Linked DNA regions of Oryctolagus cuniculus. The protein of the gene in region 2 interacts with the protein of the main gene of each other region in a pairwise test. Links are inferred from orthologs where the notes say so. Each region holds a gene or a part of one and is shown on either strand. Other genes may lie near its edges.

Region 1 (7,660 bases), on a different chromosome or scaffold from region 2:
GGTCGGGGCGCCGGATTCTGTCCCGGTTGCCCCTCTTCCAGGCCAGCTCTCTGCTATGGCCAGGGAGTGCAGTGGAGGATGGCCCAGGTGCTTGGGCCCTGCACCCCATGGGAGACCAGGAAAAGCACCTGGCTCCTGGCTCCTGCCATCGGATCAGCGCGGTGCGCCCGGCTGCAGCGGCGGCCATTGGAGGGTGAACCAACGGCAAAAGGAAGACCTTTCTCTCTCTGTCTCTCTCTCTCACTGTCCACTCTGCCTGTCAAAAAAAAAAAAAAAAACTGTGATTGGCTACCAATTTAATCAACTTCCAGTTTGTACTTGGCAGTTTCTATAATGCCTCATTAACAGCAGTATTTGGGTTGAGATTCAGCTATAGCATATGAAAAGACAATTTTGCCCCACATAATCATGGATGCAACTAAAACTATAAAATGCATTACTCAGCTAAGTAGTGTTAAACAACAGACGGTTTGCTCTAAGGGAGCACCAACAGATATGTTGAGATGGAAACAGATTCTAAAGATAGTGTATCCTCCCTAGGCAAGTAGAAAGTTGAGGCTGGACACTGAGAGGCAGTAATGCCACTCTTACCCATTCACTGAAACAGGCAATAGACAAACTGGAAGTATGAAGAAAATAGTTACGTTGATCAGAGGGCCAGTGGAATAGACACAGAGAAACAGTAAATTAGAAGTGGGGTTCTGGCCCTAAAAAGAGGGGGCAATCAAGAATGAGGCTTGGAATTATTCCCATTTTGGAAATATTCCATTTTCATCTATGCTGTCACAAATTTTACTTATCTCCAACTCAGTACTCAGTTACTGTGTACTACTGGTGAATCTTCCTCCCCAGCCCAGACTGCTAAACTTTGAGGGCAGGGAATGGCATTCATCTAAGCTGGTTAAAAGAATAAGCAATCAAACATTGTGGTTGAGCAGCCTCCAGCCAGTTCAAACTGCAGCCCTGCCACTTTCTATCTAAAAGACAGTAGTAATGTTTGCCGACCAATCCCCACTGGGGTCTAAGTTCCATGAAGCCATGGTTTGTTTTTTTTTTCTATTTGTTCATCCACAATAAATTCTTCTTTAATGTGACTTCCTACATCTCAGTTTCCTTATGTGGAACGGTGACAGTAACAGCATATGCTTTACAGTGCAACTGTAAGGACTGGACATGATTATCTGAGAGATGCTGAATGCTGTTGGGAGGATCATCAGTATCCACCAGGCTCAGGAAGAACGGCAGCTTGGGAGTGCTTCCGGGCCGTGTGTACACAGCGGCTGGGCGCTGGAAACCAAAACATCTGATAGGCCTTATCGCCGTTTCTAAAGCTTCCTGGGCAGACTTCCATTGCTACTCATTAAGAGCTCACTTAGGCTAAAAACTAGGGAGACGTTATCAGCAAGCGGGGTGCCTATCTGAAACCAAGTATGTGGTCCAGGCAATACAGGACACATCCACTAGACAGAGTTGTCGGGGACAAACCCCAAGCTGTGAGCAAGGGGAAAGGGGTGCCGCGTGATAGAACCCCAACCTTGAAAAACAACCCAGTCTGCTAGTGACCAAAAACAGGCGCCACAAATGTATTTGATTTCTACTACTCCAAATCATGTTTCCATTCAACGTATAAAATTTTCTAAGTGGGAGCCTAATTCTTAAACACTACTGGGAAACTCAGAGTGGAACAGAAGGAGTGGTCTGCGGATTAGGTTAGGAAGTCAGGTACAAGGGAGCCGATGAAAAATGCATGCTGGCCCCTTGGAAGAAGTTCGCCCTGCGCGCCCGGGGCCCCAAAGCCGCTTCCACTTCAATTCACTTGCCGAACTTGAGGGGCACGTTCACTTCCACCGACGCCCCGGGGTCGAGGGTGTCGGCCACGATGGCCAGCTCCTCCAGGGCCTCGTCGTACTTGACCCGCAGCCCGGCCAGGCCCTGCGCGCCGCCCTCCGCGCCGCACACGGCCACCAGCACGCGGTCCCCATCCGGGTAGACCAGGGGGTCCAGGGGCCTCACGGCCAGGTGGCAAGGGAGCCGCGCCCGCAGCCGACCGAACGGGCTCACCAGCAGCGTCCACTCCTTCAGAGGCCGGCGCGGGCTCCCACCTGAGCAGTAAGGCCTGGCCTGGCTCGCCCAAGCCCAGAGCCCACCGCCTCCTGCCCACGCTCGGAGCCCGTACAGCGGCAGGTGGCGCAAGCAGACGGCGGACATGGCGCGTCCCCCTCGCGCTCTCTCAGAACGCCTCAGTCACACTTGTCACGGCCAATCGACTTGGCCGCTGGGCCGCCTCTCGTCCAAGAGAAGACGTCTGAGATGGTTTCGCTGAAGCAGTCGCGCAAACTGGCTCGCTTGGCTGCGCGACTTTGAAACCTCAGCCGCAAAACTGAAGCGGCATGTTGGAATTTCAAAACTCAGTGTCAACTCTGACCGGAACTCCCGGCGTACCCCCGCCCCTTTCGCCAAGGCCGACGGGACAAGTAGTTCTCAAGGAGCCAGACGTCAAAGGGTTATGGCGAAGAGAAAACTACAAATCCCAGGAGGCAACGCGCAGAGGCGAAAGGACAGGAAGACTCGGCTGGGAGAGGCGCGCCCGTTGCTTCTAGTCCATTGGCCACTGGAAAGGCGAATCATTTGCATAAAAATCCAAATAGCCAATGGAAAAAGCGGAAGAGGCAAGGTTGGGAAGGCTGTGTGGTTACCTTGGATACCGAGGACGCTACTTGTTTGTATAGGTGGAGTTTTGGCGTGAAACTCAGGAGGTCAAAACCCGAAAGGAAAGCTTGGCGCCTAAATAAGGATCAAGACCGAGGGAAGGGGTAAGAAACCGCCCTTTAAAGATTAGAACAAAGTAGGAGTCCCCTAGCGGTGGAGAATTACTTGGCAAGAGAATAAAGAGCCAGGCTGGTGCTTTTCTGGAAGGAACTCCCTTGGCTGTGTGTGACCTCCAAGGCTTTAGGAGCCCTTTGAGCCCTTTGTGCGGACGAGAATACATCCCGAAGGATTTGTGAGCAGGTCTAGGGAGAGAACGGATGGGAACTTGGCGCACGGTCTACAAAACTGCAGTGTAGAGTACTTTGTTTTTGTTTGGAGGATAGCAGTGATTCCAAGTTACCAAGAAAAATCTGACACAGCAGAACCCTGGGAGCAGCACGGATCTGGCTGACTGCAAGTGGTCCTCAATCTTAGGGTGAAAATGTGTTTTAAAAAAATGCACATGGTGCAGTCTTGGGCTCTGGGGCTCGGATTGTGTCCCTCCCTGGCTCTACCCCTGGTTTATCTGTGTCTTCCGGGCCCGCTGTTCAGTTTTCAAATTTGAAAATTCTTATATTGTATTATCCTATGGGCAGTAAAAATAATGAAGAAGCAAATAATTTAATTTCCTCCTTTTCTGCCTGGTCTATCTCTTTCTGTGCCCCTACCTCATCCTACAACTTATTCTCCAAATTCTTTGGCCAAGACAACAGCCAACAGTGACGTTTGATAAAATCCAAGTGCTGAAACCGAAGGCTTTAAAAGGTTAATCCCTCCGCCAGGTGCACAGCCTAGAATTCCAGCGAGATGCATCGATAAACAGTGTACTAAAGTCCTCAAATTCCATGTCATAGCTTCATTGCTAGCCATTACTGTTTTAAAATCTTCTCGAGTTATCTTTGCTTCTTTTATGTTCTGTTAGTCCTTCTTGGTCAAGGCCACAGCCTACTTCTCCTCTTTTTCCTCCTCCTCCTCTTGGTGAAACCTCGTGATGGGTGCAATCTTTTAGGTTCAGCAAGGGCCCACTGAATGAATACCGATTCAGTCCTTGGCTCTGTGTTTCATGTCATCATAATTGTTCAGACTAATCTTTCAAGCTATCTGTGCTGTATGATCGCTAAGTATATTTAGATTAAATATAAAACCCTTAATAATTCGGCGTATGTGGTAATTTTTCTTTTTCCAAGACAAACTAAATTAATGAAATTGGCAACTGAACCATCATTGTCATCGGGTGTAATCATGATTTTACTATTTTCAAGTATATAATGCTAAATAAAAATGGAATGGAAATGGAGAGAATGATTGACATTAAGATTGATGTGAAACACTAAAAAGTGATTAAAACTTAAGGCAAGTCAAATGAGTATCACGTCTGTCCACCTGTCCGTAGTGACTAATGAACAGTGTGTCTTCTGTGTGTCTGACATTATAGTTTTCAGAACGTGTTCCTGTGCTTCCTCTCACTGTGTCCTCAGAAGTGCTTCCTGCTGAGCAGGCCCATTGTTTATTCTTCTTACATAACAGGTGAGGAAACAGATTTGAAACGTTAAGATTAGGAGATTAGAAGAGTCGACCCCAGGGCTGGCACTGTGGCGGAGCAGGTAAAAAGCTGCCATCTGCAGTGCCGACATCCCATATGGGCACTGGTTCGTATCCTGGCTGCTCTACTTCCTGTCCAGCTCTCTGCTGTGGCCTGGGAAAGCAGTGGAAGATGGCCCAAGTGCTTGGGCCCCTGCACCCATGTGGGAGACGAGGAAGAAGCTCCTGGCTCCCGGCTTTGGATCGGCACAGCTCCAGCCATTGTGGCCAAATGGGGAGTGAACCAGCAGATGGAAGACCTCTCTCTCTCTGCCTCTCCTTCTCTATTTGTGTAACTCTGGCTTTCAAATAAATAAATAAATTTGAAAAAAAAAGTAGACCATTTTCTGACTCTACCAAAAAGTCTCTCTTTAAAAAAAAAAAAAAAACACAAGATTTTATTCATTTATTTGAGAAGTACAGTTACAGACAGAGAGAGGGAGAGGCAGCCAAAAAGGTCTTCCATCTGCTAGTTCACTCCCCAAATGGCTACAATGGTCAGAGCTGGGCCAGTCCGAAGCCAGGAGCCAAGAGCTTCTTCAGGGTCTCCCACGTGGGTGCAGGGCCCAAGGCTTTGGGCCATCTTCTACTGCTTTCCCAGGCCAAAGCAGAGAGCTGGATCAGAAGTGGAGCAGCCATGTGAGATGCTAGCACTGCAGGTGGAGACTTAGCCTACTACTCCACAGCGCCAGCCCCAAGAAAGTCCTTCTACAAATATTTTTCTGACACCTTTGAAGAAAAAAGTTCACCTCCTAGAGATTCAAATATAACTTTTCTTCCTTATCTATATAAATATCTATAGATATTTTTACCTACTCAGGTAAAAGAGTGATTTCCGTAGTCAAAGGCATATCTTTCTGATGGAAGTGTGAGTTAGTGCAATTTAGCAATAGGCATGAAAAGCCTTGAAAATGTGTGATCCAGAGCCCAGCAACTGCACTTATCGGGATGTAAGTATGAAATCAGGAATCTTCGTTGAATCTCATATTATTTATTTATTAAAGATTTATTTATTTATTTGAGAGACAGTTACAGAGAGAGAGGTCTTCCATCCACTGGTTCACTCCCCAAATGGCTGCAATGACCAGCGCTGGGCTAATCCGAAGCCAGGAGCCAGGGGCTTTTTCTGAGTCTCCCACGTGCGTGCAGGAACCCAAGCATTTGGGCCATCTTCTACTGTTTTCCCAGGCCAAGCAGAGAGCTGGATCCGGAGTGGAGCAGCCAGGACTCAAACCAGCCCCGATATGCGATGCCAGCAATGCACCAGCCCCTATAGGACTATTTTAATAGTCAGTAAGCATCAACTGAAGTGCTCTCAAATAAGATGGTAGCACATAAATTAGTATACATCTGGATTAGTATGAAACAATTTAAGAATTGTACTTTGGGGACCGGCGCTGTGGTGCAGCGGGTTAAAGCCCCGGCCTGAAGCACTGGCATCCCATATGGGTACCTGTTCTAGTCCCAGCTGCTCCTCTTCTGATCCAGCTCTCTGCTATGACCTGGGATAGCAATAGAAGATGGCCCAAGTCCTTGGGCCCCTGATCTGCATGGGAGACCCAGAGGAAGCTCCTGGCTCCTGGCTTCGGATCGACGTAGCTCTGGCCGTTGTGGCCAAATAGGGAGTGAACCAGTGGATGGAAGACCTCTCTCTCTCTGCCTCTCCTTCTCTCTCTTATAACTCTGACTTTCAAATAAATAAATCTTAAAAAAAAAAAAAAAAAAAAACCTGAGTCAGCCTGACAGGCACCAAGACAATCACGCTGGAGTGGTAAAAAAGAGTGAGTATTTGTTGGAAGGCACAGAGAAAGGACCCTGGGAGCTAGCATTTAACTCTTGGGCTCCCAGAGGGGCTGGGGGTAAAAGTTATTACAGACTGAAGCTGGGATTGGGAGGTGCATGTTTAGCTCACGTCCAGGGCTGTGGTTGGTCTACAGTGCTTGGCCCTCCTTTGATTGGCCAAGGACATTGTGTTCTTTTGGCACTCTTGATAATGGTAAAGTGGGCTCCTGTCAATCAGGTTGGGGCTTAGAGACTGGGGCTCCTTCTGGAAAAACCCCCAAAGACGAGGCCTAACAACAGGCTGTTCTGTGCAGGAGCAATAAGTGGCCTTGTGAGTCTGGTGAGCAGGGACCCTGTAGGGCTGATGGCACAGCTTCCTCAATTCAGTGAATTAAACTTAGTGAGAGGGTGATTTAGGAAAGAAACTGAGCTAAGGGAGGGAGATGGAGAAGCCGAGGGTTATTAGGGCTTGATAGTGTCTAGCATCTGAATCAAAGGCCTTGTAGAAGGGCTCAATTTCAAACATAAATCATAATAAGAAAAAAAGTTGGTAAGTCTTTCCTAGCATACGTTGTTTCATGAGACTGACTCAAATAATGAACCGGGTGGAAGATTCCAGTATTTTATTTAATGATTTGTGTAATAATGTTCATGGACAGCAGAGGGCGTGAGAGAGTTTTCAGAAGAAAATGGAACTGAAACAAAGGCGTCGTTAATTCACCTTAAGTGAGGAAAGCTGTAGAATTTGTTAACTTCGTAAAGAGAAACGCGTCTTATGACACCTATTCGTATGATCTATTAATAAAGGCAGTAACCTAAACTAGTAACTAACGGTGCTATGGAGTATTTAGTGAATACGTAGGTAGTCCCATTTGAAGTCTGTATGCCAATCTTCAGAGACCGTTTAACTTCCCTCTTCCTGGTCTGTATGGCTTGTATTTCCGCTTTAGTGTTGTTGCACTGGCCCATCCCCTGCACTGCAGTACTTAGTGGAGCAGTGTCTTAGTCACCATTCTATGGGGGAAAGCACTTGGTATTTTACTTTAAAGTTAGTTGCTAATTTTTCACAGGTGCCTTTTATTACTAGGGTCATTTCTAGTTGCATTTTGTCCATTGCTTTTTTTCTGTTATCTATTGAGATGATCGTAGAACTTTTCTTCTTTAATTTATTAGCATGGTGTATTACAACGATTGATTTTCAAATGTTAAAGCACATTTCATTGCCTTACATTATAATGTATATTATATATATCCCTTATAGTAACTTTTCTATTTATTGCTAGATTCAATTTGCTAATATTTGGTGAAGATTTTTCATTTTACATTCATGAGCAATGTTATGCTAAAGTTTTCTTTTATGCCTTTTTCTGATTTTTGGTATCAGGGTAAAATTAGGGGGCAGTGTTTATCTTCTGGAAGGCTTGTAGAGAATTGGTGTTGCGGTCTGGTTTTATTTATCCTCCTCAAACGTTAATGTGCTTTATCTGAAGTCTTCAGTCTGTAAATCTGCCCCTCGTCCCCAGTCTTTCTGTTCTGCTTCTGGAGCTCC
Region 2 (7,366 bases):
AGTCTGATAGTGGGATGCAGGCATCCCAAGCAGTGGCTTAGCCCTCTGCCACAATGCCTGCTCCCAGGAGCACCGTAATGCCATGTGGAACTTGAACCTCACCAAAAGGCAAGGCTTTCTCTTTTGTAAATGTTAACATTCATATTTTAATAAATATATCATCCAGGCCCATGATGGCCAAATCTAAATCTCTGACCTAGACATCTTTTCACTTCAAGTGCCTACACAACCAAACGCCATTTCATATCTTCCTTTAGATGTCTAACAGGCACCTCACCTTAATATTATGTCTCTGTTCCTCTGCAGTTTTTTCTTTTCTTTTCTTTTTTAAATTTACTTATTTGAAAATCAAAGTTACACAGAGAGAAAGAGAGGTCTTCCATCCAATGGTTCACTCCCCAGTTGAACGCAACGGCCAGAGCTGCGCCGATCCAAAGCCAGGAGCCAGAAGCTTCTTCTGGGTCTCCCACATGGGTGCAGGAGCCCAAGGACTTGGGCCGACTTTGACTGCTTTCTTAGGCCATAGCAGAGAGCTTGATGGGAAGTGGAGCAGCTGGGTCTCGAACCTGCACCCATATGGGACACCGGTGCTTCAGGCCAGGGTGTTAACCCACTGCGCCACAGCACTGGCCCCCTTCTGCAGTTTTCCACACATGTCTCAATGTGAAACCCTTTAGGAGCAGTGACTGGATCTGGGTCCTGCTGACTGGTCCCATTTTTTCCTGGCTCTTCATGCTCTAGGAGCATTGCCTTACAGAGGCCAAGACTTCTCCCACCTCCAGGCTTTTTTGGTTCCTTATGCCTGGAATGTGCTTCCCTCTGTTGACTCGTTCCTATCCATCAGCCTCACACAACCTAGTTCCCAGTTACCTTCTCATGATCCACTTGTTTCCTTCATTGAACATATCAGAGTCTGTGATTTTATGTACTTTGGGTCTCTAGTCTCCTTGTTAGAATGCTATGATGAGGGCCAGCGCCGCGGCTCAATAGGCTAATCCTCCACCTAGCAGCACCAGCACACCGGGTTCTAGTCCCTGTCAGGGCGCTGGATTCTTTCCCGGTTGCCCCTCTTCCAGGCCAGCTCTCTGCTGTGGCCAGGGAGTGCAGTGGAGGATGGCCCAAGTGCTTGGGCCCTGCACCCCATGGGAGACCAGGATAAGTACCTGGCTCCTGCCTTCGGATCAGCGTGGTGCGCCGGCCGCAGCGCACCAGCCGTGGCGGCCATTGGAGGGTGAACCAACAGCAAAAGCCTGTCTTTCTGTCTCTCACTATCCACTCTGCCTGTCAAAAAAAAAAAAAAAAAAAAAAAAAAAAGAATGCTATGATGGATCTGTTTTGTCTTGTTCACCACTTCGTCCTTAGAGTCTAGCTACATAATAGGTGCTCAGTATGTACTTGTTGAGTAAGTGAATCGTATAAGTTAAAGTTGGATTATAACTCAGATCTTCTAATCTATATTTCAGCATTCATTATGCTGCCTCAAAAAATAAAGATAAATAAAAAATAGAAAAGCACTAATACTCACCTCCCCCCCCCCCATTCTGTTTGTGTGTATATAATTATTCAATTCCAACGTAAAACACTATTAGATACCTACTGTGGATGGAATGCTGTAGTACAGATTGAGGCCTCAACATGAATTGATTCTTTACCTGAACACAGGCAAATACACAACTAGCCACAAGTCAGCTATTGTGTTGTAAGTGAATGTGACCGACACTTAGTGAGACAGCTAACGAAGACAGAAAGCCACCGATTCTTAGGAAGCAGCAATAATGTGTTTGGACTTGAGCCCTGCAAAGGCGGCTAATGGTTGTGTTCTCCTCCCTCCAGCTGGTGTTCTTTAACATCCCCTTGATGGCCTACCTGTGTTGGAGCTTGCTGCAGCGGTGCTTTGGTCACAACTTCAGGTCTCATCTCCATCAAGGAAAACACTTGAAAATCATACCTGTGCACCTACTTATGTTCCTGCTGTACGTCTGGCAGCTTTATTCCTGCTACTGTCTTCACGTGACTCACGGCACTCTAGCTCTTTTATTCTCCCCTCTGCGGACCTGGTTGTCACTGCTGACTCCTCTTCTCGTTCGTTATGTGTGGAAACTGAACTCCACTGAATTTGGAACCTTCATGGTGCATTTTAAAAGCCACCTGAGCTCCTGAGGGCCATGTCTTGCCACTGGCAGCTGGCTGGAAGTCCAGCGTCTGCACCTGTAGCCAGGCCCCCGCTCCAGTAGCAGGTGGAGGGCCAGCACTGGTGTGTGAGCCTCAGGGAGCTGCTGCTCTTTGGACACTTGGATGTTGCAGGGATTATCCACTATTGATTCCTACAGAACAGACTGCAGAAAAGTCTCTAAATAATGACTTGATTCCTTCCTTCCCTGGGGAGGCAAAGGATTGATTTATCTTTGTGAAGAGAAAATCCTAATCTAGGAGCTCCACAGGGCAGGGTCTGGGTGTGTGAGTGGGGGCATCTGAGGCCCCGTGTGTTTTTAAGATTATCCCATGTAAAGCACCTAGTACCGCTGCCTGGAACTCAGCAGCTGTCAAGGGTGCTGTTAGGGGCAGGGAAACTGTGGACTTTGGCCCAACTCTGACTACCATTAAGATATTAGTTCCCAGTCCTGTTTGGCCCCCGGGTTATGAGCTTTTGGCCCTAATTGGGGGTGTTTTCAATTAATTGACTTAATGAATGAATAAATACCATGAGGGCAGGCATTTGGCCTAGTGGTTAAGGCACCAGTTGAAACAGCCCTGGCTGTGCCCCCTCTGGAGTCCAGCTTCTTGATAATGCACACCCTGGGAGTCAGGGAGTGATGGCTCAAATGGTAGGCCCCCTGCCACCCATGTGGAAGACCCGATTGAGTTCCCTGCTGCTGGCTTGTGGGTTTTGGGGAGTGAATCAATGGATGGGAGCATGCTCCCACTGTGTCCCTCTCTGTCCCACTGTCAGCCTCAAATAAATAAATAAAAATTTAAAGCAACAAAAACCATAGTATTTTCTTTAAAAGAAAAAGACCCGGGACGTGAGCATTGCTTTGCTGTCCAGCCTCTGGAAATGGGTGGTGCTTGTTTGGGGAAGGCTTGGCCGGGTCTGGGGGCGTGGCCTCAGGGAGGCGGAAGGGGCGGGGCAAGCGGCTTGTTGCCGGAAACGAGCCTAGTGGGACGACTGCTGCTCTGCGTCTCTGGCAGCGCCTCCGGCTGCCTCGGTCTCCGGGGTCACCCGAGCGACTGCGATGGCGAGCGCAGCTGCACCTGCGGCCGCAGTGCCCACCCTGGTTCCGCCTTTGGAGCAGCTCCGGCACTTGGCGGTGGAGCTGCGACTGCTCCTACCTCGAGTGCGGGGTGAGCTGACACAGGGGGGCGGAATGGCAAGTGCGTTCTTGGGGTGAGGGAGAGGCCAGGCTGGCCGGCGACCGGAGGCGGAGCCCCTGGCCGAGGCCGTGGTTCCGCTTACCTGAGCTTTTCCTTTCGCCACCGTCTGGCCCTCCCATGCCATACCCACAAGTCGGCGAAGCCCGCGGCACCGTCGAGGAGTTTAATCGGGAGACGTTCTGGAGAAGATTCAGTGAGTGCCCCTGGCGCCGGGGCCCCCATCTTTCACCCTCGTCAGCGTCCCCGTCCTTTAACCTCCCGGCCGCCCGTAGGAGGCGACTCCGTCCCCCAGTCGCATCCTCTCTGTGGGAATACCCCACTTTGCCCATCGCTGGCACCAGAAAGGTTGACATGTAAACCACTGACTCTGAGAAGTGTTTTGCTAGGCCTCGGGCGGAGAGGGGACGCACGCAGCTGCTCCGCTTATTAACCTTTTGGCTCTGCCTGCCCCTCTGCCACCCCGCAGATGAGGCGGCTGTGAACGTGTCGAGGGAGGCCACGACTCTGACCACTGCCTTCTCTCGGCTTCCGCTGCCGTCTCCACAGGTGGGCTGCCCTTTCTTGGAGTCCTCGGACTTTCTTTTTACCTTTTACAGTCAGGCCAGGAAATGTGTTTTTCTCGGACGGGATTACAGTTCTTACCTCGCAGGATTGTTGTGAAGTGCGCTTTGGGGCGCGGAATAGGCAGGTCCTCTGACTTTGAATTTGCAGTCCGGCCTAGGTTATTTCCTTTCTGATATCTTTTTAAAGCACTGGTTATTCGCTAGATGTTTTCACCCTGACAGATGAGTAAGTAGGCTCAGAGGCTCAGGTTAACACACATAAGTGATAGAGCTAGAATTTAAATCCACCTGTTGTCTCAGCTACTCCTGTGCCACATAAAACCCTTTTATATTAGTACTTTTCCATTCTATATTTAATCAGTAACTTTTAAATCATACTATAGTAATATAAAATTCAAAAGATATCAAATATAAGTGTGCTAAAATGTTTCTTACCACCCCATTCCTCATTTTTGTCTCCCTTCCTGGTTACTTTTCCATTTTTTTCCTATATAGTGTATTCTATGTGTATATACATTTATGTGTAAATGAGCTGCTTTTTATACAAATAATATGATACTACTTTGTTCTGGACATTCTTTTTTTAAAAATTGGCAACATAGTTTGGAAATCAGTGTGTCTGTTCTTGATGCGCATACACAGTTGCTCAATTCTTTGTCGTGTCTGCACGGTATTCAACAGAGTGAATATTACCATAATTTAACCAATATTCTGTGGACATTTAAACTTCTTCCATCTTGTCAGTATTATAAATCGTGAATTGCATACTACAATCTTTGTATGCCTGTGTACCTCAGTAGAAAAAAAATCCCAGAAGTGAAATTGCTAGAACAGAGAATGTATACATGGATAATAATCCTTTATTGTAAGACTGATGAAAATAAACATATTGGTTGTGAACAGGTATGCCCTATGCTGCTGACTCCATTTTTTCTAGAGCTATATATACTTAATTTGGGCGTGAGGTTATTTCAAAATGACACATTCATTGCTTTCTTTGATTTTCATAGTAGTTTTGGTCTCTTTTCGATCTGTGTATCCAGGTGTCTTGAAATGATATAAATATCTTTTTGCTACATATACCTACAATAAAAACTCTGTTTTCTCTGCATCCTTAGAGATTTTGATGAGTAAGCAAGAATTGAATTGTATAATATCATTTGAAACTGGAGTACTAATATGATCTTTATTTTCTTGTCTGCTGACTCCTTTCAGGTATGATTGGGGTTTACTGCTAAAACTCACAGCAAGTACTGTGAGGAGCCAGCACAGAAATATTTTTCTGTACTTGCTAAGGACTGTAGTTTGCTCATAGATGGGTGAAAAATTAGAATTGGGTTTTATTATATATATATATGTATATTCACAAATATATGTGTTCAAATGTGTGTGTATTTAAATGATAATCACTTTCTAAAATCCCAACACTTCATTCCTACAGATGGTTGACTTGAATGGACTGATATCTTTTATAATTTTATGTGCTTTGATGTTGAAACAATGTCAAATTGCATCTCTCTAAACATTCTCAGTCACTGCACTTACTTCATCCCAAACTGGGAGCAGTTTGCTAACTGGTACCAGTGCGAGCCAATGAGGACAAGGAAGATGAGAGAGCCAGTGACCATTTAGAAGGAAAACAGTCAACACTAAACATGCTAGTTATGTTCACTTAAAGATTGTAATTTTGCTAAAAGAGAGAGCTGGTTAATGATCTAATGCTGGGGGTTGGCAATTTTTTTCTGTGAAGACTCAGTAAAAGGGGCTGGTATTGTAGCATAGTGGGTAAAGCTCCCTCCTGCAGTGCTGGCATTCTATATGGGCACCGGTTGGAAACTCGGCTGCCCCACTTCTGATCCAGCTCCCTGCTAATATGCCTAGGAAAGCAGCAGCAGATGACTGAAGTGTTTGGGCCTCTGCCACCCATGTGAGACACCTGGAGTAAGCTGCTTGCTCCTGCCTACAGACCAGCCAGGTCTGGCCATTGTGGCCATTTGGGAAGTGAACCAGCAGACGGAAGATCTATCCCTCTTTCCCTCTGTCTCTCCCTGTAAAACTCAAATAAATAGATAGATAGACAGACTCAGTAAATATTTTAGACTTTGCAAGCCAACTACTCAACTCTCCTAGTGCCAACACAATATAAGCAATATGTAAACCAGTGAACATAGATGTGTCCTGGTAACATTTATTTACTGGCAACCAGCCTGATTTAGCCTCTGGACCATAGCATGCCACCTTCTGGTCTAAGATATGGTGAGTATCTCAGAACAGATCATGAATATCTTAGGGGATATAGAGTATCAGGAGTAAGTTTTTCCTGTTGTTTCTTAATACTTTATTAAATTGTCTGCCCATTGTCTGATGATCAGCTAACTCCTCACTGGTATAGGTTAAGTATAGCTCAAGGCTCAACTCATAAGAAGACGTTTACGATGCTGTATGCTTGTCTGCTTTCTTCCTTGGTAAATGAATTGACCACATTGATCTAATTTTCTTCTTCTTTTTTTTTTTTTTCCCATTATGGAATTGGTCCTCACCTTGCAGGAAACCCAGGGTTTCTGTGAACAAGTGTGTGCTGTCATCACAGCAGTTATTGCAGTATACTTTTCGCTTCCTAAGGAGCAGGGTAAGCCACTGTGTGGGCATGAATGTTGTGATTTTACATTAGATCTTTGCTAATATGTTGCATGATGTCCTCAGATAGTCCCCTTTCCCCAACTTGAGCATGTAGCGTTCCCTATAAAACACAGGTAAAGATAATTCTGTAATGTCAGTGGCCTCTAAAAACAAGCCATTGTGCTAAGATACACAAGATACCTAAGAAGTGAACTTATCTCCCCTGCTTTGCTTGACTCTTAACACCTGTGGTTCTTGCTGTCTCCTCCTCCAACACATTCTGACCACTACAGATGCTGACTGAGTCTCAGCCCCATTTCCAGGCCCAGGCCATCGCTGCTCTTCTCCACTCATACCACATCAAGCCCCATTTCTAGACTCATTCATGCGTTAAGTGGCCTTCAGCCCTGCCTGTGCATCATGGCTTGATTATAGTGATGCCAAAGTTATAGATGAATACATGTCATGGTTCTTTGTGGTTACTCACAAATGGTTTAAACTTCCAGTGTTTCAGCCATAATTATGTCGTAATGAATGAGTCCATGCTATCATGGGAAGATTCTATTCCAAATCTCTTACAGAGAATGGCTCTAAAGGATAGTGGGAGGGGCAAGACTGTAACACGGTATAAATAAGGTATAAATAAGACCTAAATTTTGTGTTAGCACTTTGGTTAAAGCATGTGGTGCCCATTACCTTGTGGTTCTGGAATGCTGACAGTTAGGAAAGCAGATGATAACTTGTGAGAAGAAGGCCAGCTGCTTACTCTTTGGGTTGGGCCATAGGAATCACACTGAGGAAGCTGGTTCGAA

What was found.
Region 1: the proteins of CCNDBP1 (region 2) and CCDC146 interact in binary tests that used the Homo sapiens proteins (3 or more experiments, as listed by UniProt). The two-hybrid records come from large-scale screens. The link is inferred for Oryctolagus cuniculus from reciprocal best matches to the Homo sapiens genes CCNDBP1 and CCDC146.

What each region holds. Positions count from the first base shown.
Region 1 is NC_091434.1:141,553,602-141,561,261, forward strand, and holds the start of CCDC146 (coiled-coil domain-containing protein 146), read left to right. Parts: upstream 1-2,552; 5' UTR 2,553-2,813; intron 2,814-7,660. Other genes in the region: protein FAM185A, read right to left, coding at 1,821-2,208. UniProt on the Homo sapiens protein: Essential for sperm flagellum biogenesis and male fertility.
Region 2 is NC_091443.1:66,132,957-66,140,322, forward strand, and holds the start of CCNDBP1 (cyclin-D1-binding protein 1), read left to right. Parts: upstream 1-3,087; 5' UTR 3,088-3,233; coding exon 3,234-3,342; intron 3,343-3,505; coding exon 3,506-3,565; intron 3,566-3,838; coding exon 3,839-3,918; intron 3,919-6,482; coding exon 6,483-6,564; intron 6,565-7,339; coding exon 7,340-7,366. Other genes in the region: TMEM62 (transmembrane protein 62), read left to right, coding at 1,834-2,160. UniProt on the Homo sapiens protein: May negatively regulate cell cycle progression. May act at least in part via inhibition of the cyclin-D1/CDK4 complex, thereby preventing phosphorylation of RB1 and blocking E2F-dependent transcription.